2 linked regions of the Diceros bicornis minor genome follow. The protein of the gene in region 2 interacts with the protein of the main gene of each other region in a pairwise test. Links are inferred from orthologs where the notes say so. Each region holds a gene or a part of one and is shown on either strand. Other genes may lie near its edges.

Region 1 (15,286 bases), on a different chromosome or scaffold from region 2:
TTCCTCTGGAAGAGCCCCAACTAGAGAACCATGCCTCCATCATAATATTATACACTTATTTAGCAATGTGTAATATACAAAGTTCATCCATCAACCAAATGCAGAGTAGGAGGGAGACAGGTCAAAATATGTTTTCAATGATCTTTTGATTCAAAGAGTTTTGTTTCCCAGCTCCTTTCCCTGGCTCAGCATTTATTTTTAAGAAGGTAACCAGGCATGATGGAATCAGTTCAGCTAATCTTTAAAATAAAGACCTTAAAAATTCTCTACACACGAGAGCTTTCAAACTTATTTTTGAAAGCAGTGGTTCCCCTTCTTCTCCAGATGCAATCTTATTAGGTATCTTAAATGTGGCAATGAAAGCAAGGCTGGTCTGAGAGAAGCAGGATCTGGAACCACGACCAAGCCTCCCTTCCCAGGATGGTCCCTCTGCAGAACCTGGAGGCTCTGAGGAACACACCTTTCAAAACACTCCCTTGTTCTATAAATGCAGAAACTAAGGCACAGAGAGGTCTAGGACCTTGCCCAAAGTTCTGGAATCTGGTAAAGCCAAGCCTAGGATCCAAGACTCTTTCCACCACATCATACTGACTCCTCAGAATCAAGATAATAGTCAGTGGTCTCAGGACCAAAGGTTTACACTTCTTACATACTACTATTAATCACCCCTAAGTACTGCAATTGTACAAATCTAAGACAGGCAGCTGCAAGAGTAAATAAATTTAATCTGTTTCCACTTGACAAAGGTCAAATGGAAGAATATTAATATAATCAGCCTTCCCTGAGGAGATAAAAATAGCGGCGTTCTCTGGCTGCCAAGAGAGTTACAACCCACACAGAAAGGGAACATATCAGTTTCTGGAACAAAGATAAAGGAAGTCAAAGAACCACCTTCAAGATTATTCTAAAGGTAAGGGGTAAGTAGCCCTATTACAGCCAGGTTAATAAAGGATCTACTGGTAGATATTGCCCCTTGCCCACCCATAGCCACTTTCCCCTTCTTTCTTAATTACATAAGCCTGATTTTATTCAGGGTGTCCCCAGTTAAAACACTAAATTTTCCAGCTTCCCCTACAGATGACCCTACTACTAAGTTCTGGCCTATGAGATTTAAGTAGTCATTGGGTAGGACTTTGGAGACTGTCCTTTAAGGGAGACTGGTCATTTCCCATTTTTTCTTTTTCTGTTCTCCTTTCCACAACCGGGAACTTGGATGTGATGGCTGCCGTTCCAGCAGCTATCTTGTCACCTTGTCATATCTTTCATTTTGACGAAAGGCTTGCACGAAAGACGACAGAGCAGAAAGAGAGAAAAAACCTCAGTCCCTGGTAACTTATGAAGAAGCCATCAAAACAGCCCTGAACTGCCCTAAACCTCTGGCTTTTTTATGTGAGAGAATAAACCCTTATAAGATAAATTTACAGTAGTTAGGTCCCTTTTACTAGCAGCCAAACACAATTCCTAACCAATATAGACCTCGGCTTCACTGGCAGAAGCTACAGAGCCATATGGAGATACATAAGATAAGTGGTGACTCAAGGGAAGGAGGAAATTCATCGCATGTCCTCTCCCAACTCCTTCACAGATTTTCAAGAATAATTTCAGAGCAGGTCAGCAGAGGGCAAGCACCCACAGTTAAAATCAGATGACTAGTAGCTGAACTTATCAAAGTCTGGCAGAAAAAATAAGTCTGTGAAAGCAGAGGGTGTCAGGGTGACCAGATGAGGGACCCTGCATCGCCTCTTCCCCTGTATCTGACCAGGAGAGGGGCCCCTCTTTGTACCTCTTCAAGGTTGCAGAATTCTTGCTGCAGGGCTAGCTTCAGATTAGCGCATTCTCTCCCGCATCTCAGTGCTACCAGACACTCCTTGGTCAGATGTGGCACCTAATCAGAGGACACAGGTTCTTAATGGAGAAGTCTGCGGGAACTCCGTGCTCCTGCTCTGCCTAAAAAGGCAGCAAAAGCTTTGTCACTCCAACTTAACAGGCCAACACTCACGTCCACGCACCCCAGCTCCCTCTAAGGGGTATCTCTGTGGTTCCAGGAATCCACGTGTCATAGCACCCGGGTAAAACAAGGTGCTTTAAAAGGGGTTCCGCAGTGCTCCTTACTTGAGCAGCTACTACCATGTTGTACAGCCTTAGGCAAGGCATTTAACTGCTCTAAGCCTCAGTGTTCTTATCTGAAAAATGGGTACAATAATAGTACCCACCTTAAAGGGCGGTTGTGCAGGTTACATGAGTTAACCTTTACAAAGCAGCGAGAACAGTGCTTGGCACCTCATAAGTGCTCAGTATATGTCAGCTATTAATATCATTGAGTTATTTTTATTTATTTTCAAAGAGAACTATCTTAAAATTTCTCCATCATTTTTTCTCCCATTATCAACAGGTGCCCCTTTTCTCTCTTCTTCACATTTCCTGGGCAGTCGGCACTCTTGCTCTGCATAAAGGGCATAGTGCATTACCTTCTCCACACCCCAATATTTTTTTTACCTGAAACCTTAGACATCTTCCCTTTAAAGCATCACCAGTTTTCAGCTCTTTCAATATTCCTATCTCAGGTCACACAGTCATAATTATGCCATAACCATACCTCTGGAGATGGCTAATGAAATGGAAAAGTGCTATCAGCTAAGCCTTTAACCTTTAATATCAGAGGTGGCAGTCCTACTGTAATTCTGTACCAGTTACCCTCCTAAGGCATACGTAGTATTTAAACAAAACAGTTTCACCAGTGATTTGGTTTTAAAAATGGATTGAAGTTTGGGAAAGACACACAAAGAAAAATAGAGTGTAAGTGGCTTTTTAAAAAAGTGGATATACCTTACAGAATAGCTCCAATAACATCTTTTGGCGAGCTCGCTCATAAGGGTCATATGGATACAGCTTCCTGCCGGGATAAGCGTCATCCAGGTACTCACAAGCGATGACAGATTCGTAGATCAGTTGACACTTGCTGTTCTCCAGCACAGGAATCTGGCCAAAAGGGTGCTTTGTGTAGTACCATTCAGGCTTGTTTCTCAGGTTAATGTTGATAACTTCATGTCTTAATAAGCAAAGGGAAAACAAGACAGAACAAACATTAGAGGTTTATTCAAGCAGACGCTCATCTTGAAAGCAAAAGAGGTCAATTTATAAAATTTAAATTTGCACTAAGTTTTTTAAAGTTTAGGTTTTTTACAAAGAAAAGTACATAACATCGTCTGCATCCCTACAGTAAGATGTGTTCACTGTTTTCTATACCTTGTCTTGTTTGCTCCTTGTGATTCCTGGCTCCAAGAGGTTGAATCTCCTGCCAATATCACCACTGGGAAGGAGCAGAGCCAAGACCAGAGCCCAGGAAGTCTGACTCCGGGCTCTCGTGCTTAACCTCAGCAGTACAGAGTTTCGTACATTTTAAAGCTTGAAAATACAAATCTGATATTAACAGGTCACAACAGAGAATGGTCAATGTTAGCATTCCGAGCATGAATTCTGGCATCTGATGGCCTGGGGTCTGGACAGTTTGGCTTGTGTTCTTGGCCAAATTCCTTAACCTTTCTGTGCTCAGTGTCCTTAAGTGTAAAATGGGGATAATAATTGTACCCATCTCTTGGCATAGTTGTGAGGATCAAGTAAGTGAATTTGTATAAAGTGCTGAGGATAGTGCCTAGAAACATAAACAAGCAATAACTTTGTATTCCTCTTATTGTTATTAATTATTACTATGAGAGGTTCAAGCCCATAATGTTACCAGAGGCGACGTTGTTTAGTTGTCATGGGTAGAAGCCAGGGATGCTGCTAAACACCCAACAACGTACAGGACAGCCTCCCCCCACCCCCACCACACACAAACAACAAAGAATTATCTGACCCAGTATGTCAATAGCGCCACGGTTGAGAACCCTGCCCTAAAGAAATATGACATTAGTTCCTAAGCTGCCAACTTATGACTATGGGTAAAACATCAAGCTACTGTTATTTTAAACAGGTAAACTTAGGGCCAACTAGCACTGAGCAAGAGGGAAGAATCTGGAAATATATGCCACATACACTCAACAAAGCAGAATTACACAATTTTATCTAAAATGTCTCTATATTAGTCTCTGTACTTCTCTGACACCCCGAAGTCACCCTCTAATGATGGCCTCTCCAAGACAAGAGTCAAGAACACGGCCTCAGCACTTCAGCTTTGAGGCCTGTTGCATCACGCTGGGCCCATTCCACAACGTTGCTCTGCCTTCCAAATCCAGACCTCTTTTGCAAGAGCTAGTCTGGCAAAATTCCTTCTGGAAGGATATGGACCCATTTCTCAGGTATGTCAGGACCTTCAAGACACCTCTTGACAGCAGTTCCTTCCATTTCATTGTTTAGAACTATTTGTTGATTCATTCAAAAAACATTTTTAAGCACCTACTATGCCAGGCTCTCTTCTAGCCCACGAGTACAAGAGAAAAAGTCCCCACCCTCGAGAACTTACATTTGAGGGGGGTGAGTGGAAGTGGGCTGGGGGTGTGGAGGAAAGATGGATAAACAAATAAGAAAATGTTGGATGCAACAGGCGCAATAAGAAGACAACAGAGTTGATCTGAAGGTGCCTGGGGTAGGGGCGGGGGTGGGGGCTACATTCCAAAGAGCAGAGAAGGCCTCGGTGGCCTCCGCTACGCCCATCCTTCACAAGCATTATGGGAGGGAACCAGCTCACCAGAGCCATCATTCAGTTCACTCTGAGTTGTTCTAAAAGTTTCATTCACAGACACGGCCCCGCATGAGCTCTGCACTTCAGGACCGCGCGCTAAAAATCTCGCCTTTTGCTAATCATTTATTCACTTGGACTCAGAAGAAAGAGACGGAACCCCTCTGAAATCTGAGCACGGGGCCCCGGATTTTACACATCTCCCTGCGCTTGCGGGGCGCTGGCCTCCGGCTCCTCACCTGATGCCTTTGGCCTGGAGGACGAGGCGCGTTCTGTGCGCATAGGGGCAGAACCGCATGCTGTAGATGCGGATCAGGCCCTCTGGGACCGGCCCCGGGGGGACGCTTCCTGCGGGGGGAAGGGGGACGGAGAGGTGGATTAGACCAGTGGGGAGAGGGGCTCACTTCCCAACCCGGAACCCCAAGAGGGCTGCGCGCCCTCAACCTCCGGAGTCCCAGAGAGGGCACTTTGCACGTGGTTTTTGCGCAAAGGAACCCTTCAAGTCCCTCCCCGCCGCGCTGGTCTCGGGACCAAGGCCGGGCAGCCCCTTCTCCGGAGGCAACATCCCAGCCATGCGGCGCCCCCCGCCTGCGGACCGCTGTCGAGAGGACTCACCTTTCCCTAAGGTTCTGGTCGCATCCTCAGCCATGGTCTCCAGGCGTCTGCGCATCGCCCGGCGCTCACAGCCGCTGCCCTGCCGCTCCTCGCCACCGCAGGCTCCAGCGACAGCTGCGCTCCAGCGCGCGCCTCCCGCCCCAAATTCAATTTTTGAACGACTAGGTTCTGGCGGGGCAGAGAGGAAATGATCTGGGACCAGAGCTAGGATAACTTAACCTAGAGAGACATCGCCCCAGATTCAGAAGCCAAAGAGTAGCAGGAGTGAGCAAAAACTCTGAAAATTACCCCTTGCTTTGAAAACGTGCGTACACCATTCGGTGGGGTCTCTTCTCGACGTCAAGAATCCGCAAGGAACAGGCATTTAAACTCCATCCGGCACGTATTTCAAGGGAGTTGAATAAAAATTGACCAGGGTAACGCTATTGTTTTCTCTACTATTCTAAGCCCTCCCTCCTGCGTCTCTAATTGGACACATCCTCTGTATAATGAGTAGGGGTTTTTTCCTTTTTAAAATAAGGCCAAACTTCCTCATGATATGGCAGATAAGAAGGAAAAACTTGTTAGTGTTGAGATCTCGCACGACGCTGAGAAGGAGCGCCTCTTTACGTTTTGTGCCCTCGACTCCTCACTTGCCTCACCCTAGTTCTGGCCCTATTTGTGAGATTTCACCCAAGCTCTGAAAAACTGGTAACGAATAGAAACAGGATACCTAGAGGCAAAGACACATTTGTGAGCTCTCTCCACACCCTCAGCATAAATTTCAAAGAAAATCCTTTTTAATTGTGAAGGACACATTGCCAACAGCACAGCCATTCAGGGGCCACTTGGATAGCTTTTCCATCTACATGAGATAAGGGAGGTAGCTGCCTTTGCTTGACCCTGATAGGCTGAGATCCTGAAATTTAGCAAGCGGAAAGATAACTCCTTTAATTTTGCAGAGCCGAGCTGAAATGGGAATTGCTTGTAAATGGATTTCGTAGGATTGACAGGTAAAAAGGAGAAGTATTATGTGTTTCACTCACACTGACTGAATGATTTCCACGGACTACCTTATTTGATTCCCACAACTACTCAGTTAGGCAGCTAGTACTATTCCTATTTTACAAAATAGAAAACAGCCTCAGAAAAAGGAAATTATTTGCCCAAAGTGACCAGCTAGTTGGGTTGAAGAATTTTAAAACTCCAAAGCCTGACTCATTCTCTTGGCTTTTACAGCTGGCAACAGTGTGGAGAGGAGAGGATCTAAGTCCCGGAAAAGATACAGCACATAATAGCTGCTCAACAAATGGTAGCTGAATCTACATATCTTTATTAAAAATGACAGAACCTAATTATGCACCTTATGAATGGGCACATTTGGGCTTTGGAATTCCAATCTATCCAGAAATTAATAGTGATTAATAGTGTTCACATTTTTTTTCTACTGAATAAGAATCTTTGAAAATCTTCAGAATAGTGGTTCAATTACGTTTTTTGCTAAATCATTCAGAGTGATTTCACGTGAGATACGGCAAGTTGTTGTTTTATAAGAATTGGGGAGTGGCAAAAATGTTTGAATAAATGTTCTCTGAAAAGAAATCTGGTACTGGAAAAGAGAAATTGGTTCTTGACTTGCCATGCTGACAACTGTGCATTTTGGAAGATAGAGAAAGGAACAGGATAACTACTAATCTGGAGCTAATTTTTATTAAGAAGGACAAACTGGGTGGTAAAATAGAAGCAACAAATGTAACCACATCACGTGAGAGCTTCTGGAAGGCACCTAGGCAGACAAATGAATCCCTCACATAAAGAATGCAGATTTCAAACAGTTGAGAGAGAATATATCCAGATTCTAAAAGGGAAGGCCATAAGAGGAATGTGAAATACTCAAAATCAAAATAAGTTGTTACTAACATTTTATGCTTTTTGTGTATGCACTCATTTAATCCTTAAAACAGTCCTATAAGGGTTCTATTATTATTTCATTTTAACAGATGAGTAAACTGAGGCCAGCAAGGTTAAGTCACCTGTAAAAAGCTTCACAACTAGTAAGAAGGAGAGGGAGGCTTATGAAGCCTTGAAGTTGGACTCCAAGGGCAGCACTCCAGCCAGGATCTTAATCTACACCAGAGACAGGCAAACTTTTGCTATAAAAGTCAAGAGAGTAAATATTTTAGGCTTTTCAAGCCATCTTGTTTCAACTGCTTAACTCTACCCTCATAGGGTGAAAACAGCCATAGATAATATAAAAACGAATGGGTGTGGCTATGCCCCAATAAAACATTTTTTTGGACACTGAATTTGAATTTCACACATATATAGTATTTTTTAATAGACTTTATTTTCAGAGCAGATTTGGGCTCACAGCAAAACTGAGCAGAAGTTATAGACATTTCCCATATACCCCCTACTCCCACACATGCATGGCCTCCCCACCATCAACATTCCATACCAGAGAGGTACATTTCTTACAATCAATGAACCTACACTGACACATCATTATCACTCAAAGTCCATAGTTTATATTAGGAATCACTCAGTGAATTTCATATAATTTTCATGTGTCACAAATTATGGTTTTTCTCTTGATTATTTTTCAACCATCTAAAAATGTAAAAACTATTCTTAGTTCTTGGACTGTACACAAACCAGCGGTGGGCTGGATTTGGACTACTGCCCTTAGTTTGCCCATCCCTGGTGTATATTGACAATGATTGAATAGCAATGGCCAACTGGGAATTCCATTTGTAAAGTAAAAGGTTCTTGGATCCACAGCTTTTTCCTTTGTCAGAAGAGAATGCATTTCTAAGCTTTTTCTTCTCATTCCCACCTTTTAAAGGAAACCAGCTCTGAGAGTTGGAAAATATTGGTTATTAAAAGTATACCTGTATATGGGAAGTAATGTTCTGAAATGCAAGTCTATTTAGTGTAGTTAGGGAAGAAGAGACAGAGGGATGGAAACAGTTCTTCTGCTGAAGGGAAGCCATAAGATGTCAAGGTTCTCACTTGGCACTATACCCAAACCTTGGCTTTGGCACGCAGGCAAGCTATCTAACCTCTTTGACCTTCATCTTCCTCACCTGTAAAATGAGAATACTAATAGTACCTACTTGAAGGGTTTTCAGTGTGGAATGAAATCATACAGGCCATCCTCAGCACAGTAAGAGCTCAGTGTACTTCAAAATTAATGACTAATATCGGTAAATTAGAACACATTTTTAACAGCATAGTGCATCCTAACACTATATCCACAAAGATGAAATGCACTGCAATTCAGCTTTGCCAAGCACATTAGAATTAAAACCAGAATCAACCCAGAATACTAACTTCATCAGTTACCAGTTTAACGCCAGCTGAATGGGTTGAACGCTGCAGGCTACGTTTCAGTAATGTGGTTTTTAATCTTACCACTGAACACTATGGTTTCCCTGGAAAGATTTTAATTATGACCTTTAAGCTTATCCCTACTTCCTTTTTAAGATCCAATACGTACCTCTCTGAAATCCTCTTTGCAAATTTTCCTTCTCTGTTATTATATCATGTTTACACATCTGTTATACTGACTCACTCAAGCAAGAAACCAATGGTAGTAAGGCCATACTAAACCTACTCCAAATTGGTTGCCAGCTACCTGAAATATAATCGGATCTGTTTTGAAAACGTGGGGAACTTTTGTCATGGGTGATAATGACTTAAGCCTTCTAGGAAGAGAATGCCACTACAGAAGTAATTTCTTCACTCGATTCACAAGACTCTGTTTTGAGAAGAGGAGAGGAAGTGGAGTTTGCATTTTGCAGTTTTTCAAAATTTTTTTGTCATACCAATCTCTGATAGTGGTAGAAACTGAAGGACATTCCTCGTAATATTTCAGAAGCCTAACTTACATGAAAGATTATGTTACCTGGTGTTCAGATATTGTTCAAATTCAAAGTGGGATAAGTGAGGGAAAAGGCTCTATCTTCAGATGGGCCTAGATTCAGGACTTGTTCCCAGGAAGTTAGGATTATAGGGAATTCTGTGTTGTAATGTCTTTGGGACATTTTTTTTTTTTTCAGTTCTCTCGAGCTACAATTGACACACAGCTCTGTATGACTTTAAGGTGCACCACATAATGACTTGACATACATATATCGTGAAATGATTACCACAATAAATTTAGTTAACATCCATCTCCTCATATAGTTATAAAAAAAGATTTTTTTCCTCATGATGAGAACTTTTAGGATCTACTCTCTTAGCAACTTTCAAATATACCATACAGCAGTGTAAACTATGGTCAACTTGTTATACATTACATCTCCAGTACTTATTTATCTTATAACTGTAAGTTGGTACCTTTTGCCCACCTTCATCGAATCTCCTCCCACACACACAACCACAGATCTGGGACATAGTAATTATACTAAAGTTGTCAGAGGAGGAACTTCATCTTCCCACTAGGGAAAGCAGAGTCAAAGGTGAGTTTCTTTTTAAGTACTTGATTCTGCTTTCCTATCACTATTTTTCTTTACAGCTTGAGGAATTAAAGAAAAAAAAATTTAAACATTTTGATATAATAACATTTAAATGAACAAACGCAGATTTTCAAGATCCTGAAATCAGCCAAAGTCAAACATTTGTAAAATCAAACAAAACACACTGAGTTTGGAAAAGGAACATCAACACTTCCTGTTAAATCCCAGGCATTATAGTGGTGTGTCAAAAAGCCTCTCCTGGCTCAAGCTCTAAATGCTAAGAGCTGATGAACAAAAAAGAGACCGGGGCAGAAGCATGTGTAAGTTCTTATCTCAAGAAGGGTCTAAATGACTGTGAGTTCAGGCTGGATTTGAATCTCCTCTTCAGCATTTACTAGCTGGTTGACTTTGGGCAAATCACAACTTTCTGTGCCCCGGTATTGTCATCCGTAAATCAGATCTAATAGTACCAATACATCACGTGATTTGGAGAGGATTAATTCAAATAGTGGATGAGAAGCATTTAATACTTAGCGTTCTTCTATTATCTAGTAAGCATTCAACATTAGCTATTATTATTTGAATGTAGCAGGGAAGACCCATAGACCTCACAAAGACAGGACATTCTCAGAGACCAAATTCCCCAGATTGCCAGTGCCTTATAATGTAGCCAAACTAGCGGTGCCAAGAGGCAGCGCTGACAACTAGTGATCTGCGGGCTTTTTTACCTGTCTCCAGCCAAATCAGAAACATAACAACTTAATGAATTTGGGTTTTTTTCTTTACGTTAAATATATTCGCTTCAAAGACGTGTTTCTTAGCCTTAGATTATAACCCTTGTACGTTTTTTGATGTTAAAAATCTTTGATGAAACTTTGATAAAGTAGTTGGACTTTCTTTTAAAGGTGTTAGGCAAAATAAAGTTGGCAATCCTATTCTGGGCCCCGAAATTCGTGAAAAATCCCCAAATTCAGAATTAACCTCAACCCACTCTTCTCTTCAAACGCAGCACAGGCCTGACCGGCCCACCCGGTGGCGGTGAATGGAGAGACACCCCCGAGCGACCTCTGGCCCCGTGGCACGCAGAACCGACAGTGGAGAGGCAGTGGCCGCAGAGGGAGGCGGGGCCCAAGCAGAACCCGCCCCTTAGAATCCTACCCGCCAACTGGCCGCAGCGTCCAGAGCTTCAGCCAATCCTCGAAGCCTTTGGAAACGCTCCGGCCTAGCAATGCCGAGTGAGCCAATCGGCGGCCGCGTTACAAGCTCCTGGAGTCGTGAGTCCCTGCGCGTGTCCGTGTGGAAGCCAAGTGGTGGCTGGGTGAGGACCTTGGCGCCCGGGTGTAAGTCCACCTGGCGTCCGCATGTAGCCGACCCGGGCCTGGAGGGTGGGGCAGGCGGACGGCGGCAGAGATGGGTCCGCCCGGAGCCTGGGCGTTGGTGGTGACAGTGGGCGGCAGGAGGCCGTTTGTGAAGTCAACTGGTTCTCTGCTGCCTCTCAGGGTGCGGCCCTTGCGTCGCCCTCATCACCGTGGAGCGGGGAGCTCATTTCAAATATGGATTTCCCGGCCCACCCCGGACCTACTGATCCGAAATCCAGCAGTGAGCCTTAGGTGATTGTTATGCGCTCTTAAGTTTAAGTACAGGAAACCAGCGTGTATTGGGCGGGTCGACAGCCCCCTAATTCTGATAGTAAGAGCAGTGTGCTGGGTGTGTTCTGCAGGTCTTTCTGCCAGCATCTTAAGGCCTTACTTAACGCTGGGGCCTTAGTTGAATCATCTGTAAAATGAAATGATGCTCTCCGACCTGCCTTCTTATGGAGGTGATGTGATCATAAAAATTAAATAGTGAGAAGCCCAATGAGCTATAGAAGTGTATGGAAGATGGCATTAATATTTCTGCATTACTCATCCAGCCTTACATACTGTATTGACGGATGTGGTCTTCAAAGTATTTAATTATCTATATGGGACACCTGCTGTGTGCCCACTGTGGGATTTAGTAGGAAGGATTTGAAGGGGATAGAGATTGGAGATGGGGACACCAAATGGGAGGCCACCTAGTCACCTGGCTATGAGGTGATGTGAGTCTGGTCTTTAGTGGTGACAATGGGAATAAGAAAGGTAGTGAAATAAGTTGATGATGGAAAGGAAAGAATAAGGAATTGAAAGTTTCTTGACTCAGAACCCAGAAGACAAACTTGAAAGGGCATCTCCTAAAATGACAACAGAGTATCCAAGTGGAAATGTCCTATGGACAGTTAGAAATCTAGACTGAAGTCCAGCTCTCACTAGAGATGATGATTTAGAGGTTTTCATCATAGACTATGACAGATCCCTTAGAGTCATTTGAGCATCCTAAGACAGGAAATGTGTTCACATTTCTGCAGGAGGGCCTTGAGGAAACCCCACAGTTAGGCCATGATGTCAAATCAGAGAAGGTGAGCCACTGAGAAGTGACAGCTTTTATTGGTAAAATAAAAGCATGTTATTATTCATTTTAGTGAAGGAAAACATCAGACATATTTTCATTGCTGACTCCTGCCCCCATCAGAGTCCATAGTCACAGGCCTCAGGGCTGTTCTGCAAGTAGAGATCTAAGAAACCTCGAAGGGTCTTCGCATCAGTAATGAGGAGTGATGCTATGGGATCTTCCCTCATGGCTGCCATCCAGAGCTTAAGTTTTGGAGTGTGGTCTACACAGCTGTAGGAGATGGAAAGAATGGAGGCATGAGCTAGATTAACCATGAAGGCATTGCAAAGTCTCCTATATATCATCATGATCACTCTGCAGTTTCATTTTGTTTTCTTCTAACCTTTAAAACTATTTCTTTAAATGCACATAATCATAGAATATTATATTTGGAAGATATTGTAGAAGTCTTTGTTTTATGGAGGAGGAATCTTAGAGTGAAGTGACTTGCTCCATTAGCATAAGAACTTGTCCAAATTGAGAGACTGATAACTTTTTAAAATGAGAACATGAAAGACAACCAATCTATGGCCAAATTGGGACTAAAAGTAACCCTGAATGGCTCTAAGCTTTAAGAAGTGGGAGTAAGCCAAGGTGGCTGCCAAAGTTCAAAGCATGGAGTTTGGAAAATAGTATGGAATCTTGCTGGTAAATGGGAGGTAGCATTGGTTATACAATCCTGCATGACATCCTTATAAAAATGTACATCCTTTTGGATTTTCAACCAGGAGGGAAGGAGTAAATTACTTTTAAAATATTTTACTAAGTCACAGAACTCCCTGCCCTACTAGAGATGAGGAGGAATGGTGAGTGCAGGCATATGACATGCCCTGGATAGTCCAAGACGCTCCTCCTCCTGTCTGCTTGTTCCCATTCATACCAGTTGTATGAAATATTTTAATTTTTGTTCAGAAAAAAGGTCAATATATACTATTCTGAATTATTCACAAAATACTCAAATGTCTTACTCATTTAGCTCCACTACTTCCAGCCGTTCAAACCAGGGCCAGAGGAGGTAATCAACCATAGAAATGGAACTGCCACCAAAGAAGGTTGTCTTCTTCTTGGTCAGAACCTGAACATTAAACAACATAAGAGTATTTATTAGTGTATCTAGTAAGATGCATCATCAGAGATGATGAGGGCAAGTTAAGTAGAGTGATGAAAGCAGCAGCTTTTACCCTGACATATCCAAGTTGGTTTTCTGTCTGATCAGTTTAAGCTTTAGAATCTGTTAGTTTGAGATGAAGCAAAACAATCAATAAAATAAACTAGACAGTGGAGAAAAATAAAACACGCCACAGAGTACAAGATCTTTGTAATACATACACTCAACAAAGGACTGGTATTCAGAATATAGAAAGAACTGGAAATCAATAAGAAGAAAGGCAAACAACCCATTAGAAAATTTGGCAGGACAGACACTTCACAAAAGACATCCAAATGGCCGATAACCATTTGCAAAGGTGCTCAACTACATTAAACTGGAACCAAAATGTAATACCACTACCCATCCAGCAGAATGGCTAAAATGAACAAGAGGAAGTTAACAAGGGTGTAGAACCACTGCTGGTAGAAGCGTAAATTGGTACAACCATGTTTTAACAGTATCTACTAAAGCTGAGTGCATGCATACTTTATAATACAGTAATTCTACTACTTGTAAATGTGAACATATATTCACCAAAAGATATGTATAAGAATGTTCATTGCAGCACTATTTGTAATAGCCCCAAAGTGGAAATGTTTACTGTCCATTGGGAGTAAAATGGCTAGATAAATTGTGGTATAGTCATATGTGGGACACTATACAAAGAATAGGAATGAACTACACACAACATAGATGAACCTCACAAACCTCATACTGTATGAAAGAATCCAGACCCAAGAGAGTGCATATTATATGCACCATTTATATAAAGTACAAAAAATAGCCAAAACTAGTATTCTGTTTCTTGATATGCGTGCTAGTTACACGGCTGTGTTCACTTTGTAAAAATTCATTAAGCTGTACTCTTATGCTTTGGGTACTTCTCTGCATATAATACTTCAATAAAAAATTTACTTAAAATATACTGGAAATAACTGGATTAACTATTAAACAGATGCCAAATAAAATTATTTGAAAACCAAGCACAAATAGTATGTTTCCTAAATTTAAGAAGGTGAATTGATATTATGGTTTTGCCAAAGGTGGGAACTAAGAATATTATTTGGTTAGTAAACACTAAACCAACTTACCCTTTATAAAACTTCCATAGTTTTTCTCAGGGCCCATATAACATTCTGCCTTGTAGACTGATTGTTTATATCTACCTGAGTATTTGTCTTTTGTCTACTACCTAAGTAATCATCTGAAGAATATGGACAGCATCTTACTTTCTACCTCAGCAGAGTGCCTTGCAGTTATTAGGCACTCAGAATTGTACAATAAATCAGTCTTTCTGGGTCTGTCCTTAAACTGTAGTGCCTGGTAATTATGCATAAATAAAATTAAGTATGGTGGTTTCAGTCAGCAGCCCTAAAACATGGAAAACTCATTTTAAAGCACGAGTTTTTAACCTGAAGTCTGTGAACTTAGATGGGGAAAAAATTACATTACTCTCCCCACTAACCCCAAATTTAGGAGATATTTCCACTATCAAAACGGCAGTAAACCATAGTAGTATGAGTGAATCGTATATTTTAATTTAAGCATTTAAAAACATTATTCTGAGAATGAGTCCATAGGCTCTACCAGGTTGCCAACTGGGTCCACAAAAGAAGTCTTAACTTTCAAAAAAACAATAACCCACATGCATTCTCTGACCATAATGTAATTAAATTAGAAAACAGCAAAAAAGGTAGTTTAGGGAACTTGAAAGTACAATGATAAATAATTGAGAGGCAATGAGAAAAATCACAATGGAAACTGCAAAAAAAATTTAGAACTGAACGATGAAAATACTGCATATTCAAACTTATGGGATGCAACTAAGATGTTATTTAGAAATAAATATATGGTGATCATTAATGCATTAAAAAATCAAGAATGACTGGAAATAAATGCATTAAATATCCAACTCCTGAGCTAGTTAGTAAAAGA
Region 2 (15,461 bases):
TTTTCTAATTTCCTATGTAACTTAAATAATGCTTTAAATTCACCAAGCAAGCAGGTAAGTTCATCTGACCATTTTCTTTGCAATCTAATGCAGTAATCATTAAACTGTCAACGGACATATTGCTGCGATATTTGATGCAGTAATTTGAAATAGCATTTTAGTAAAAATCACATCCAGATACATTTCCTCTCCAAAGAAAAGCAGCATTAACAGAGCCTTTACAGCTTTAATAAAATTATTGGTTTGTTCTAACTCTATTTCAGGAAGGTTGTGAGGAAACCATAAGTATGTAGAATTGAAGCAGAGATGCTGGTTTAAATTTAATTTCAGAAAGTATTTTCAAATTATCAATAGCCTGGTTTGCATTGTAAACAGTAAATGTGCTAATACCATGCTTATTTAGAAATCATTTTAAACTGCATTTATTGATAACTGGATTAGAACTCAAATAATGTATTGCCCAATAGTCTCAGAACATTTAATTTAATATGGGGTGTCGCAGGTTCTGATAGGCATTGGGAACCCAGCTAATGATTTATGAGGTCAGCACTTAGCACCCCTAGGAAGAGAGGAAGGCTTCATTTTAATGTCCCTCTGCTCGGATTTGTGCTTAACTATTCTTTAATCAGAGTAGGATATACACACAACTTTTAGATATCACAGGTACTTATAAAATCCACTAAAAATAATTTTCTTAGTATATCTTCTACACTTTCTTTTAAATTGCTAAAGCATTTAATGAGCTCTTTCGGTTGAATTTAACATCTTTTTCAGGACAGGGAGAAATCCCCATGCCAGAGTCAGCGGTGGAATTAGATCCTCTCCCAATCGAAACAGTTTACTGTCCTGGAGAGGGGAAGATATTGTTAATGGTGACATTTGTCGGATTTATTTCTCTGTTGATGGAAGTGGTAATGCAGGCATTGTTTGAAGGAGCTTCAGGAACCATTGTTCTAGGAGCAGAACTCTCAACTACTTTTAAATTTTTAAATTTGGTTGTCTATGTGGGTCCTCAAAGCGTCCACCCCCCAAATAAAATGAGATTTTGAAAAAGTAAATGCCATTGAGGAAAACCCAGGCCCAGCGGCCATGTGTCCCGGGTACCTTCTCTGGGGTTGGGTGAGTAGGGGCTGTGTTCCCTCTCCGCCTCCCACAGGGCTTCTTACCGGGACGTCCTCGATGGCGTGAGGTAAGGAGTGGATCGGGAGGTCTCCGAGTCCTGAGCCAAGCCCGTGAGGGCCGTGCAAGAGGTCCTCGTGCCGCCGGTAATCCCTGCGAGGATCCAGGCCCGACAGCTGGTGGGGCAGCCCCCGGTGCGTGTGCAGAAGCCCAGACTCCTGGCTCTGCCTCTGGCCGGGCCAGCCCGGGTGCTGTGGCTGCGGCTGGGCGTGCAGGGGGTTCAGGCTGTAGGGGTCGTTGACGTGGGAGTAAGGATCTTGCGACTGGGGGTAGATAGGCTGGTAGGGCGGGGGGAAGTAGGGGGGCTGGAAGTCGGCATTGGGGGTGTGGGACAGCGGCGGGGCGCTCGTGTAGGGAGATTGACCTACAGTGCCCAGCTGGGGCAACCGTGCCGTCCCGTTGCTGGTGCCGTCGTGACGGTCCTAGAAGAGAGCGAGAGGAAGGGGCAAAGAATAAGAAATCAGGCGTCGAGTTACAGCTGTGCACTAAATCCACTCCGCAGGACTGCGTGGGAAACCGCCCGTTCCCATCGGCAGGCTGCCGAAAGAAATGAGCTCTACGTTGATCATTTCGGAAAATACCCCAGAAGTGAGACGGGCTCTTCCAAAAACGCAGGGAATTAGATTGTGCAAACGTAGCGGCATAAGACACTCTTCTTAGGCTTTTCTTTCAAAGAGGGGGAAAAGACAGAAAAGGGCCTCCCGGAATACAGCCCGTTAAGCTGCAGTGTGAAACCTCCCTTAAGCAAAATTAAAATTCCTACTAAATATTAAACAGCAGAAGCGGCCTTTTCTTTTTTCCCTGGATTTGAACCTGCCTGCCACTGCGTTATTGTTTACTCTGTTCCATTTATTTGGGGAGGAAAATCATACACGTTCAAAGACTATTACCATTTCATGACTATTTAAATAGAAACATATTTCGTAGAGGGGCTGTAACGAAAGCACACGTTTAAATTACCAGCTTAAAGAAGGTTTAAACTGCAGGTTGGGGGTCTGTCTTTTCCGCTTCCTCAGTTAGGAGCCTTTCTCTCGACAGAGTCGATTTTTGATATGGATGGGGAGAGGGGGACGTCGAGTCAAGGTTTAAAATAGAAAGATTCAGCCTTATTGGGTTTAAAAGAGAAAGGTGCACCCCGGCGCGGAGCAACATCCCCCCGCCCCTTCCACCCCAGCCCCAAAGGGCAGAAGAAACGCCTGACTTTATGTTCCTCTATTGCAATTCGCTTGCAAAACAAGCAAACAGAGTTGATTCCAGGGAAGGCGAACCCTCGGGCCCCGAGGGTAGGGGGCACATCGGGCCGCGCTTTTCCTGCAGATGGATTAAGCATCAGATGTTGAGAACATCTCGGGAACAAGTGAAGACGCAAGGAAATAAAGATGAGGGTGGCGAGAAACGCCTTGGGAAGTAGCGGTGAGGTAGGTCTGTCCGCCGGGAGAGGTCGAGCGGAGGCGGGGGAGGTAAGGCATTCGATTTAAGAACGGAAAGGAGCGAGAGAAAAGAGGAAAGAGGGAAATGCAGATGGAAAGGGGTTGCCCTGAAGGAAACCTGGGCGTGAAACGCGAGGTCTCGGGCCGCTCCGCAGCACCAGGTTTCCAGAACAGAATTCCTAAGGAAACAGGGATGGGGGTGGGGATGGGACTCACCATAGCTGAAAAACTGTGAACTAACATCTGCGAAGAGTCTGGGGTAACGAGTCAGGGTGGAAAAAAACAAGCAAGCCTGGAGAGCCTGGCTGCCCCGCCGCCCGAGCGCGCCCCACACAAAAGGCGCCGAAGCCCCGCGCCACCCAGGACTCCAGTCACGGCGCCGACGCTGCCCCGAGCACTGGAGCCCCGCTCTGGTCCATCCGAACTTGAACCACCGATTCGAGCGGCGCCTTCAGCTGGTCGAACCCACGGTCTCTATCCTGCCGTGATCGGTTATGATTCAAAGTTCCTTTAAAAAGGAAAAACCCCAAAAAAGGAAAAAGAAAAAAGTGTGTGTGTCTGTGTGTGTGTGTGCGTGTTCCTTAATCCGTGTCTCCCCCTCTTTTCTTAGCGGCGGCTTCGCTTGAGCTTCTAATAACCGCGCTGGGCAGCGTTCCTGGAGCTTCCTAATAGCAGATATTCATGACTATTAATATTACACGAATACTTAATAAGGGAAGAATGCCTGGAAATCGAGCGTGAAGCGGAGAGGCAACTCGCGCCGGAGCCGGCTCTCAATGCAGTCCATTGACGGGAGCCTCAGTGTAGCAAATCGGAGGTGGGGAGAGGGAGCGCGAGAGACAAAAAGCGGGCGAGAGAGGGAGCGGGCGAGCGCGCGGGGGGCCGCGGCGCGGCGTCTGGCGAATCACAGGGAAGGGGCAACATTTTAAAAGGTTGCAGGGCATGCAAAAGTGAAAGAGAAAGAGGGAGAGAGGGAGACCGAGGGAGAGAGCGCAGAGAGGGAGAATGTGTCTGCGTGCGTGTGTGAGAAAGAAAGTGTGGGCGAGAGAGGAGAGACTGGAGTGGGGAGAGAGGAGGGAGGAAGGAGGGAGAGCCCGAGAGGAGGAAGGGAGGGAAAGAGGGAGGGAGGGAGGGAAGGAGGGGGAGGGGGCCGAGCCGGAGCGCACGGAGGGGGAGGCAGCGGGGGAGGGGAGGGGGAGAGGAAGCGAGCGAGGACAATCAGACCTAAAAGGCTGAGGCAGACCTCGGGATAGCGCGGGGGCCGCGTGTCGCGGGCAGGAGCTGCCGGCGACTGCGTCCGGGCGTTCATCGGGCTCTCGGCACGGTGGGTGCTTCCCGTTCCTCTCCGGCCGCGGGCTCCTCCGCTCCGCAGCCGTGCCTGGGACTCGGGATTCGGCTGCCCGCTGCCGCGCCGCTCCTCCATGGCCCGGCGCCCCGCCCGGGACCGGCCCTCCCGCTCCGCCGGCCCGCGCCTCGGCCACCACTCGAGCTTCCCTCGGACACCCGGGGCCGTCCGCTCTGCGGCAGCTGCCGCCCTGCCCGTGGCTCTCCAGGGCAGGGGCTCGGGGAGGGAGAGCCGGGACGCGGCCAGGGGCGCGCAGAGACGCAGGGCGGCCCAGCCTGGGCGCCGCTGGCACGGGCTCCCGGCTCCCAGCGCAAACCCGTCCGACTGGCTGGGCCACTCCCGCCCGACGCCCCCCCAGATGACACGGCTCGCTCTCTCCCAGCGCGGCAAGGCGGCCGCCGCTGCCAGTCTGTCCGCTGGGTTGTCAGAACAAGCGGCACTTCGCCTGCTGCGTGTCCCTGCAGAGCCCCGACATAATTAGACAGCTCCAAGCCGGCTCGGAAACCCGAAATCCCTGCTCCGGCGCTCGCCCACCACAAAGTTGTTGAAACAGCCTTCACTCTATTTATTTTCCTCTCCTTCTTGTTTCTCATCTTTTTTTTTGCCTCACTCACAGACACATTCACACGCGCCCCCACAGGGTCCCTCTCTGGGGGTGCAAGTTCATCGTCTCTCCCGTCGGTTCCATAGGCGCCTAGCGCCTCGCGGAGGTTTGGACCCCGCCCGCCCAGGGCTTGGAGCCCGGAGCTAAGTTTGGGCCTCCGCGAAAGTGAGTGCCCGAACCTCGGGCCACAGCCCGGCTTGGGACAATTCACCCTGGGAAACTAAGGGGCTCAGTTTCACCCAGACCAGCTCGCAAAGGGCACCTCCCCAGCCCTGAAAACAAAGCGACTGGTCTGGTGGGGTCTCTGAGGCCCGCACTGTGCACGACAGAAGCCCCCCGAGAAAAGCCCGTCCCCGCGGGATATCACCCGGTGCCCCATCCACAGAGCGGGCCGGGGGGGGGGGGGGGACGGGAAAGGAGAAAGATTTAAAATAGTCTACAGAAAGGAGAGGGGGAAGGGGACGGTGACATATCGTTCACATAAACTCAGGTTCTGATTTCAAGTGAAGACAAGACCCCTGCCGCTGCGTGCGCACAGACCTCTACGCCTGACATTCTCGGCTCCAAATGCCGGAAAGAAAGCAAGCCAAGGAAAGAGAAAAGAAAAATAGCAAAAGCCGGGACAGCCACCTATTTATTTAGGTAATCTTGGGCCGCGGGCCTTCCTCCCCACCCCCTTCCGTGACTCATCCGCTCATTTCAGCAGGAGCTGTAAGGGAGGTTAGGGCAGCGGCCACCAGGTCCGTTCCCAGCGCCTCCCGCGAGCGGACAGGACGGGTGGTGCTGGGGCTCCCCCGGCTGCCCCAAGAAACTGAACTTCGGGAACCCAGGGTTTTAAAATGGGCTTCAAAGCGGCGCGGTCTATCGTTCCGGGGGCTCCCGGCACCAGGGATCGTGTGCAGCCTCGCCAGGATTCCCACGGTCACGCAGCCGAGCGCCGGGCGGCTGCAGGGCAAGACGTGTGGGGACTCGGCGGCCAGTAGGCTCCGTGCGGTGCAGCCCTCCTCCCCCACTCCAGGGGTGCGCCAAGTAGCTCAGAGGGAGAAGCTGTTTAGAACTTCTTGAATAACAGAGTACCTGGAGCAAGCCCCGTGGCAATTTGGGAGATGAGTGTTTCCAAATTGAACCCGCTTACTGGGAGGTGTAACTCAGCTCAGAGCGAAGTGTGCGGCCCCTTCTCCAAAGAGAAGAGAGCCTTTTTAGAAAGGGGGAGGGGAGGGTAGGAAGGAAGGATAGAATGAATAAATAAAAGAAGGAATATTAAAGAGTAGAGAGGATGTTAAAGAGGGAAAGGGGTTTTCTCTTTCCTTTCTCTTCCTGGTGACTTGGGCCCCCAGAATCTCGCTGGAGAGTCACGCAGAGTGCAGAGGCGTGTGCCCAATTGCCAGTAACTGCTTCAAAAACCCATGCTCATCTCTTAGCTCCACTCTTAGGCACAGCCAAAACTGATCAGAAAAATGGGGAAAGTGGGACACGGGTTTCGAAGGAGGGAAATGAAAGAAGGGACCATCCACATCCTCCCTCTCCAGCTTCTCCCCTACATTCTTCGGGCGAATCGGAGAGGCGGGCGCTGCGCTGGGGAAAGTTTGTCCCACCTGCATTTCGCAGCTGGCTGCGAGGAGAGGAGGAGGAGCGGGAAGGTAGAGCTCGGAGCCTGCCGCAGCAAGGATAACTGAGCCAGCGCCGCGCTTACCTCGCAGTCCTCGTACTTGATATTATCCGTCAGTTTCCAAAGCATTTTCATGGATCGGCGTGAACGGATTTGCCCCCTGTCCGCCTCGCACCCAAGTGGAGCTACTCTCTGGGTAAGCGCAAAGTGCTGGCTGCCGGCGGTGAGCGCAGGAGGAGGAGGAGGCGAAGAGGAGGAGGAGGAGGGCGAGGAGGAGGAGGAGGGCAAAAAGGAGGAGGAGGAGGGCGAGGAGGAGGAGGGTGAGGAGGAGGAGCAGGAGAGAAAGGAAAGAGCTCCCGTGTGCGCTCGGAGATCTCCCTCTAATGGTAGAAACTTTTCCCTTTTCCAGCTCTTTACCAACGGCCTAATCGCCTCATTAGCATATCAACAATAGTCCAATTGCTCTCCAGCACCACAATCTGCCGCCGGCCGCTCCAACCCAGGTATAAAGGCCTCTCCGAGCCGCGAACTTGCTTCTAGAGCACACGCCTGCCTGTGAGCCGACGAAATCTCCCCTGAGCCCCGCCGCGCGCCCCTGCCCCAGCGCCGCCTCCCGCCCCCCCGCCCTTCATTCCACCCCATTCCTCTAACTCTCCGTCTTCTCCTCGCGGGAGACGTCCTCCGCAAAAGCCAGGCATTGCGCAGGGTCCGAGAGGTCGCTCCTCGAGCCCGGCTTCCAGCACCTCTCCCCCACCCCTGCCGCCACTAACGGCGCTGTCCTTTCGGCCCTGTCCAATTTTATGAGAAATTATTATCCCTTTCGCAATTAAATATAACCACCAAACCAAGACCGGCGAAGTTACTCCAGGATTTTTGCCCCAAAAGAGATCGCCTCCGCTCGCGGCAGCCGCCACCTCCGGCCGCAGCGCTTTGGGAGTTTTATTGGCTTTGCGCTTTCCCCCCAGGTTGGAGATTTTACCAAACGGCTCCAGTCGCTCGGCTGGGGTTTGCGATCCTTTAATTGCCCCGTGTAAAATAAAAATTGTACCCTGAAGAGGTTACTTGACAGCTCCAGGGGTTAAATGATTTTCCTCTCGTTTGTATAAAGCTAGGGCCGACTGATAATTCAACGTGGTGTTTGGGCTAAGGGTTTCCTGGGTGCGATGTGGACAAGAATACAGATACAGAACTCCTATGGAGACTCACAGTCGCTTCTGGAGTTGAGCCGAAATACCGACATGTGCGCGCTGTGTCATGCATGCATCAAAATAAATCGCTGGGAACCAACTCTTCGCTGTGCTAATCTGCTCCAGTTTTCCCAAGATCCCCCTTTTTAATTAAAGCAGGAGATTTCCTTCATGATTTGGTGATGTTACTAACGCGGGCGCGCTGGCGGCGCAGTGCCCGGCTGACACGGAACCCGGAGGCCTTCGAGCCATCCTCTCGTCCATGTTGGCCAGTCTAGATCTCCTGCTCCACACAGGGGCCTGCTCGCCCCACTGGGGCTTTATATTTTTTTCTTCTGTTTCAGCGAATTTTTTTAAGGAAGAAAGAAAAAAAAGACGTGATGTGATCCTTCGAAATACAGAGTAATTAATTTATCTGGCTGAGCTTCCTCATTTGTCCTCCATAAAAAAGTTTCTGTCTTTCTCCCTCTCGACGATCGAAAACTCCCCAACAATAGTAGGTCTGGCCTCCGAGTTGCTCTAGTACGCCCTCCGATTCCATCTGGGCCTGTTTCTTGCAAATCGCCAATCCTCCCAGGTTTCCAGAGTGCGTCCACGCAGAGCAGTGCAGGCTGTTCCAAATCCGAGCGTTCCCTAACAGGTGGAAGGAAGGCAACAGGAGGAAGGATCCCTCCCCTCAAAGCTGCGGAAAGACAATTCTCCCTCCAGAAGACTGCAGCAAATTCCCCAAGCCAGGCAAAGGAGGCCAGAGGCCCCCCAAAAGTTAGAAAGAAGGCTAGAGCTGGGCGGAGGGGGGAAAGATGGGTAGAGCTGGAGGGACGCGGTCCCAACGCCCTGGGCGCTCCCTTGCGTTCCCTTTCCCCACCCGAACACTAGCACAGTTGCTTGGCTGAACCCAGCTCTCGGCTCTGCACCGCACTCTGCCCAGAAAATGGTCAGCTTCCAGTGCTAGCACACGCACCCTGCGGAGCTGCCCTCGGGCCCGCAGCTCCACGCAGCGGCTTGAAGTCGGGAGATAGGCCGCCGGGAGCGCTGACACCTTCCCAGCCGCGGCCGCCAGCCGCAGAGCGTGATCTCTAGGCCAAATCCTAGGCCTGGGAGCATGGGATTTTACAACCCCCAGATACTGCCAGAGTGTGCTTAAGGGAACTCTAAGTTTCGCTTTCTTTTTTTCTGCTTGTGGGCTAGGGAAGGCATTTAAGGCCCTTCATCTTCTCCACTCACCGCTCCCGTCTTGCTGACCCGCGCCCCGCAGATCTCCGGCTCCGCACCCGCGGGGCTGCTAAACTGTTGTTGTACTCCCGCCGAGGGCGCCTTTGAGGTGCAGATTGGGGCCTACCCGCTCCGTGCTGCCCGCCCGCGTTACCGGCGCTGAAGAAAGGCCGGGTGAGCACCCCAGTCGCCCCTGGAGCCAGCCAAGCCGCGTTAATGTGAGCGTCATTACCAAGACAAGTCACTTCATTGCATGTCAATGCTCCAGCATCGCCAGACCCGGGACAGCAGCGCCAGGCCTGGGGGTAGGGGTCGGGGGTCCAGGCCAGGTCTGGCGTGGAGGGGGCGTCCGGGGAAGAGCCAGTATCTGTGTGAGTAACAGGGACACCAACAGAAACAAGGAGACAGCGAGGGGCCAGAATGACTCTATTTTCTTAGGTTGTCCCCACCCAGTGGGACCTAGGAGCCCAACAGGCCAAGGCAGGAGGATCCGGCCCCTCCATGCCCCAAATCCCCCTGCCCCACCCGAGATCTAGTCTTCCCACCACATGCCAAACTGTGAGCCCGCAGGAGCCAGGCCCAGGATTCACTCCTTTCCCCTTCAGGCCGGGATCTCGCAGCTTCCGCACCCTAGTCCGGCCCTCTGGAGGCCCAGACCTAGGCCGAGCCTGCGCTCCGGGCGCCTTCTCACCGCCGAGGAATTTTGCAGCAAAGTTCGCCCGGCTTGAGGAGAAAACTCCAAAGACCTCCGCCAAAGAACTCCCCCAGTCTTCACTACCCTCATTCTCCAGGGAAGAGGAGGAAGAAGGGCCCTGAGGCCCAAAGGGGCAAGGGAGAAAAAGGTGTAGATTTCCAGGGTTTGTGTTTGGTGAGGGATTTGCATCCTTAAACCACAAAGTTAGTCAAACTTTGGGGATGAAATTGCACTTAGTGAGATTTAACTGGGGGGAGAAGTATAAAAGAGCCCACGGTTAATAAAAATAAGTGCAAGGAAAGAAATAAAAATTGCAAAAGCACTTCCTTTCCCCGATTCCAGGGAATGTAGTGAAGACGGGACTTCTCTAAACTTTACTTGCAATGGCCTAAATCTGAAACAAGCGAAAGAAATTGCCCCAGAAGGAGCAGGGCTCTCCTTTTCTTTGGGAAGTTCGGGGCGTTCGGTTGGAATCGCCACGCAGGCTTTTAGGAACACAGAATCTCGCCCTAACCAGGCCTGGCTTGGCTGGGGTGAAAAGAGGGCCCCGCGGTTCCCATTATGAAATGGGCGACAGGGGAGAGGCTGCTACCCTCACCAACCTGGCCAGAGCTGCCTTGGTTCCCGTAGGGGAAATGTCTGGAAGGTAGAAGGAGAGCGCTGGAAGAACGCCTCCGTTGCCGGGGTCGGGGCCCCGGGCTCCGGGAGGGCAGGATCTGGAGCCTAGGTGGCCTTGTGGTGTCGGAGACCGAGTAAGGCCCAGTTTCGCAGGCGTTGGTTTCGGCAAATTCTAGACCTCCTGCCTCATCACTCACCCTTCACTCCTCATCCAGTCACCCCCATCCGGAGCCCAAGCTGTGAAAACTGGCTTCAGGAAGCGGACCGAGCGAGAAGCTAAACTGAGCAAAGTCTAAGTATTACCCCAAAGAACATGCTCGCCGGCGCGACCCGTCCACCTGGACCCCTTTTCATTCTCCACTCCCCGTAGGTCACCAAAACTTGGAGACACAAAGAGAGACAGGTGCACCAGAAGCCCACCTCACGCGCAGCCCTGGGGTCTAGGGCAAGACCCAAGGGGTAGCGAGCAGGGAAGCTTCCTCTCGGCGTACCGCACCCCCGCCCTGAGCCCTCCCCCCTCCTGAATTAGTCATCTACCCCTATTTCTCCTTGGGGTGGGGGAGGACCGCTGTAACGCAAACCGCAAGTGACCCCCGGGGCCACCTGTGGAGCGCGCGCCGGACTTTCTCCAGCTCCCGGCCCGCCCGCGGCGCGCGTAGCCCCCAGCACCGCGGCCTCCGCCTGCGCTCGTCTTTCCTGTCCTCTTTCTCTCCCGGGAACACTCCTGGGCACTGCCAGGCGCGCCTCACCTACGACTCTCCCGCCCTGGGCCAAGGCTCTTCCTCTCCGCCTCCCCCTCCCGGCCCCCTCCCCCGCTCCACCCCCGCCCACCTCAGCCCCAGCCAAGGCAAACCCCCGTACCTGCCAGTCCCCCATTTTGGCAAGTATGGACATCGCGGCTCGGCGCTCCTGGCGACGGGTCCCCGCCGGGCATGGGCTGTAGGGCTCGGCCGGGCCCGCTCCCTGGAATCGCTTAGGCAAATCCTCCTTTTTTACCTGCTCACCAACATCTCACCTGGTCATAAAGAGCTGAGTTGCTACCTGCTGACGCATGCGCACTAGCCCAGGAATGCACTCCGCCAGCCCTAGTCTCAGCGCCTCGCAGAGCTGACCTGGGAAGTGATGGATTTATAGCCGCGGCAATCTCGCCATCAGTTCCAGCTTTTCCCAACAGCCCCAACCCGCTTTCCCGGTCAGTCCCTGACCAGGGAACCGAGGCCGACTGCCTGCTGGGGTGTGCTGGGCGCGATGCGAGTGTGATTGGGTGTGTTTTCGCACTCAAGCAACGGGGGCATCTACAAGCTCTTCTCATGGCTCTCCTCCCTCTCGGAACTTGGGGGGTGGGAGAGTCTCCACCCAGAGGTAGGGGTGGGGGGAAGGCAAGGCCAGGAGAGGAGGCCAGACCCGATAGGTCCTGCGCACCTGAATGCACACGGTGGGGCCAGATCCCGGTCCCGGCCTCCCCACCGGCCCACGAGGTTCAGGGCACTCCCGGCCCTCGCGGACCCCAGTCTGCAACCCCCAGGGCTGCTTCAACGTCGGATCTCAGATCAAAGTGTTTCTCAGTAGGTGAAGACGTTCACGATTCTGTTTCATTTCTGGCTTCTAGGTTTAGTCTCCTCCCACCTCAGAGAGCCGAACACACACACACACTTGCACACTCATACACTTACACTTCTATTGAAGGTCCACTCTCTCTTCCCACTTTCACAGTCCGCCTCCCCCACTCCTCTATGGCTTCCCAGCTCTTCAGCTTTTCCACTAAAAACTTTTTAAAGGGAGAATGGGGGCGTTGGTGGTTCTGGGATGGGCACCTGAAGTTTGGGTTGGGGTTTGCTTTCCCATGACAGATAAAATCACTCAGATGATTTCACCGCTGCTTCTAATTAGAAAGGAGCTTTAAAAGAAGCCACAGGATTTCGGGCTCCCGAGGAGCTCACCTTCGTCAGGAACCACACCTGGCCGGCCGGGAGGGAGGCGAGGGTGAGGAGCTTAGCCTCGGCTGCCGTCACCCGCTACCGTGCCAGCCTCATGCTGGCAGCCGCGAGATCCCACTGTCCAGGGCTTGGGCCTGGGACTCCTGGGACAGGCCCATTTATCCTCCCAAGCTGCCGTCGCGGAGACTGCGAGATGTACAAAGAACCGGTTTCAAATCGACTTCTCTGACATGTCACGTCAGACGAACGTGTGTAAAAGCTCAGCTCCACTCTGAGGAGTGAAGATGTGTCCCCACACCAAAACCTCCCCTTTCTAAGCCTGCGCTCGCGCCTCTGTCCCTGTGGCCTGCCCAGGTGGCCTTGCGCCCTCCGCGCATTTCCAGGGGTGGGTAGTGGTGTCTCTCCGAGGAGACCCCGTGTCACCTAGGCATTTGAATCGTCCCCGGGCTGCGGGACTTTCCTCTCGGTGCCGATTCTCTTGTTGATCTGAAACTTTCTTGGACCTGCCTTAGAACCTTGCTCAGCAAGTTTGGGTTTTGTTTGTACATTTTTTTTTTGCTTGCGAGAATTTTAAATAATTTGAGTTATGGCGCTTTTAATCCATAAGTGTCTACGCTTCACTTTCCCCGCTTTTTCCAGACTGTCGAAATAAGTTGGTGAAAACTGAATTCTTCCAAGTCCAAGCCACACGCGGAGGACGCGTCTGTAGCACTTCGAGATTCCGGCGGGAGGCGCTGTGCTCTCTTAAAAATGAGCACAGTTTCAGGCTCGGGCAGCCTGCCTTCTCCCGCGCACGGGTGGAACAAGAGCTGGAGGGACCTGGGACCCGGCTGGCCCGGCCAGGCCGAGCCCGGGAAGGACGAGCGGGCGTGTGCTAGGGCTGGGGTGGGGCGCGAAGAGTGCCATCTCCAACTTCGGTAGTGTTTTTGCGGGGGAGTGCGGGACGTGTGCGGCAAGGAGGAGACAAAGCTGCCAGTGGGATCAAGCGCGAAGCCACGCTGCAGCGTAGGGTTGGGTGGAAGTGGACAGGACGGTGTGGAAGCGAAGCAGTCCAGGCCTTGGGTGTGAGAGCCCTTGGTGTCTACTCAGACGCTTGGGACTGGGTCTGGGGTCAGAGTAGGGGGAGGGGAGAGAAGGGAGGAGGGACGCGAGGAATCTGGGAGCAGCCAGGAGCTAGAATTTAGCTTGGGAGTACGACCGCTTGGGGTCCAAACTCAGCTCTGTCCTTTACGTTTACCGGCTGAGTGATCCAGGACAAGTTACTGGACCCGTCTGGACCTAAATTTACTCATTTGTAAAACGGGTAATTTGTTGTGAGAATTCACTAGAGGAGTGTGCTGAGTGCTTAGCACAGCTCCTGGCCCATATTGTACTGCTGAGCCTGGTGAAGGATGGTCTACTCCTCCCCATCCTCCACCCTCAGGCACCCAAGATCGGTTCAATTCAAGATGACGTCAACTCCATTGCTCCTTCCCTGGGCACACAGTAGCCAGATGTCGTGGTCAACTGCACCTCCCACGACTCCCTCCTCAGAACGCTCGTCTTCCCAGGTGTGCGCCCTCCCTCTTACTCCCCAGACACCCTCTCACCCCTCAGGGCCCTTCCCCACCTAGACCTCCCACCCAGCTCAGCACTAGCCTGATTCTGCCGCCTCCAGGAGGGAGCCACCAGGGGCAGGTGGAGGATGCCTCCCAGCTTCAGCCTGCGCCCAGACTCTGGTCAGCCACCCAAAGGAATCAGCTGCGCCCAGTGCCAGGGCAGGCCCAGAGCCACTAACTGCCCTAGGTGACCTGCCCCAGGATCCAAGCAGTCTCCAGAACTGTCTGGCCTTGGGCCTCTTGAGAATCAAAAAAAACTGCGGCTTGTTTTACTGGATTAGGGGAGGGAGATCAGCAGGAGTCCCTCTCCCCCACTCTGGTCGCGCCACCACAAAGCAGGCTTGGCAGCTAACAGGTGCTGGGACTCTCGGCACAATCTCCAACTTTTTTGTGCATCGCTCTGTGCGGGCGACCTGCGCTGTGGGAAGGAGCAGGATGACTTGGTGTCAGATTGGGCGGAGCTCCTGGCTTCAGGTAATGCTGAGCTCAGGCTCTCTGAGGCCCCTGGTATCCCAGGATATCCTGGTGGAATCTATTCCTGTCCCATAACACACCTCCCCCCTCCCACTCCCCCCCTTCCCCCAGCTTCATCAGCCCCAAAGTTGCAGCGGCAACAATCTTTCCTTTAGGGTAAAGCTCTGATTGAACGGCATTCACCCCACCCCAGAGCAGCCAGGACTCTTCCCCCACCGTTTCATTCATCAGCAGGTGCCAAACCCACTCTGGGCGTTTGAGGTTCCTTGGAAATCTAGAGCAATGGGTTAGCGTGGAAATTCACTTGTGGGGTGGCCTCGGCCTCGCTTAGCTTTCCCCTAGAGGAGTCGGGGATTATTGGGACAAGTTGAGTGACCACTCACTGTGCCTGCACCTCTTCTTCTCCCGAGGCTCGTCTTCCCCGCCTCTGGGCCTGGAGAGCCTGTCAACTTTGGGTCTTTCTTGGGCCCCTCAGAGAGGTAAACTGGACCCCAGGCTCGGAGCAAGGAAAGGAGAGGGCTGGACCACTCACGGGAGAAGGTGAGGGGAGTCGAGGTGCGTCTTGCCACACCCAGATCTGAGGCGTTCACCTGGGGCGGTTCTTCCAGGGGGCAAAAGCTCGCTTGACTCTCCAAAAGGATTAGACCAAAGGAATAGGGTTACCAGTAACCACAAAAGAAAGAAGCCAAATCTCTTACCAAAGGTGCCCAGGAAGAGCGAAGAAAGGAAGCCCGACGCCCCTGACAGGTGTCCACCGCACGCCTGCCAGGCATGCACTTTCAACTGAGAGTTCTTGCAGCAGAGGGTACAGTGCAGCAAGCTGGGAGGCCCAAAAGCTGAGATTCTAGAGATGCCCTGGAGGCCCGAGGTCCACGACCCAGCTCAGTGCGCCCCCCACGCGCGGCCCGGGTCCCTCCCGGCCCCAGGCGACAGGTGCAGCCGCAGCCTCGGCCGCCCGCTGTGCCAGGGCGGCTGCCGCGCACTGGTGCGGAACCACTATCGGAACGAGTTTGCGCTTCTGTTTACAAAGCAATCCTGCCATCAAAAGAGGAACAAAATCACCACTTATCACACCCTGTCATAAAGTAATCTGCCCTGGAGGGAAACCCTAGAGAAGAATCGCGCGGAGTGTGTGTGTGTATGCGGGGGGAGGGGGCAAAGAAAAGGTGAATGCTCCCCACTCTCCTCCAGAGTAAATCGCTTGGACACGCCGCGTCCCTCCAGGCCCGGGAAAGACAGAGGATAGCCTGAGCGCCGGTGCGGGGTGTGACAGGGGAGCCCAGCCTGGGACTGGCCCGGCATAGCGCGGAGTCTCTTGGCTCTTGGGAATCCACTCATCTGCCTCTCCCCACTCCGATGTCTACTTTTCTAGCATGTTCAAAGACTCACTAAAGCCTGCCTCCCATTACCCCGAAATAGACGGGCAGAGGGGGGAAAAAGTGAGTTCTTGGAGATTGCGCGGTCCCTTTTGATCTCTTCCCTCGCAGGGACACTGCAAGGCCCAAGGGACAGTCTTCAGGAATCCCTAACCGGTTCTAAGAGGTGTCGCTCCTCTTAACACTGCTGTGCGCCCC

The links.
Region 1: the proteins of TFAP2A (region 2) and GSTO2 interact in binary tests that used the Homo sapiens proteins (3 or more experiments, as listed by UniProt). The two-hybrid records come from large-scale screens. The link is inferred for Diceros bicornis minor from reciprocal best matches to the Homo sapiens genes TFAP2A and GSTO2.

Annotation. Positions count from the first base shown.
Region 1 is NC_080745.1:69,061,113-69,076,398, reverse strand, and holds the start of GSTO2 (glutathione S-transferase omega-2), read right to left. Parts: upstream 6,751-15,286; 5' UTR 5,658-6,750; coding exon 5,582-5,657; intron 5,462-5,581; coding exon 5,294-5,461; intron 5,027-5,293; coding exon 4,918-5,026; intron 3,050-4,917; coding exon 2,827-3,049; intron 1,886-2,826; coding exon 1,784-1,885; intron 1-1,783. Other genes in the region: GSTO1 (glutathione S-transferase omega-1), read right to left, coding at 12,279-12,432, 13,170-13,276. UniProt on the Homo sapiens protein: Exhibits glutathione-dependent thiol transferase activity. Has high dehydroascorbate reductase activity and may contribute to the recycling of ascorbic acid. Participates in the biotransformation of inorganic arsenic and reduces monomethylarsonic acid (MMA).
Region 2 is NC_080753.1:56,161,114-56,176,574, reverse strand, and holds the start of TFAP2A (transcription factor AP-2-alpha), read right to left. Parts: upstream 8,071-15,461; 5' UTR 7,428-8,070; coding exon 7,374-7,427; intron 6,469-7,373; exon of another isoform or gene 6,303-6,468; coding exon of another isoform or gene 6,252-6,302; intron 3,627-6,251; exon of another isoform or gene 2,853-3,626; coding exon of another isoform or gene 2,826-2,852; intron 1,602-2,825; coding exon 1,167-1,601; intron 1-1,166.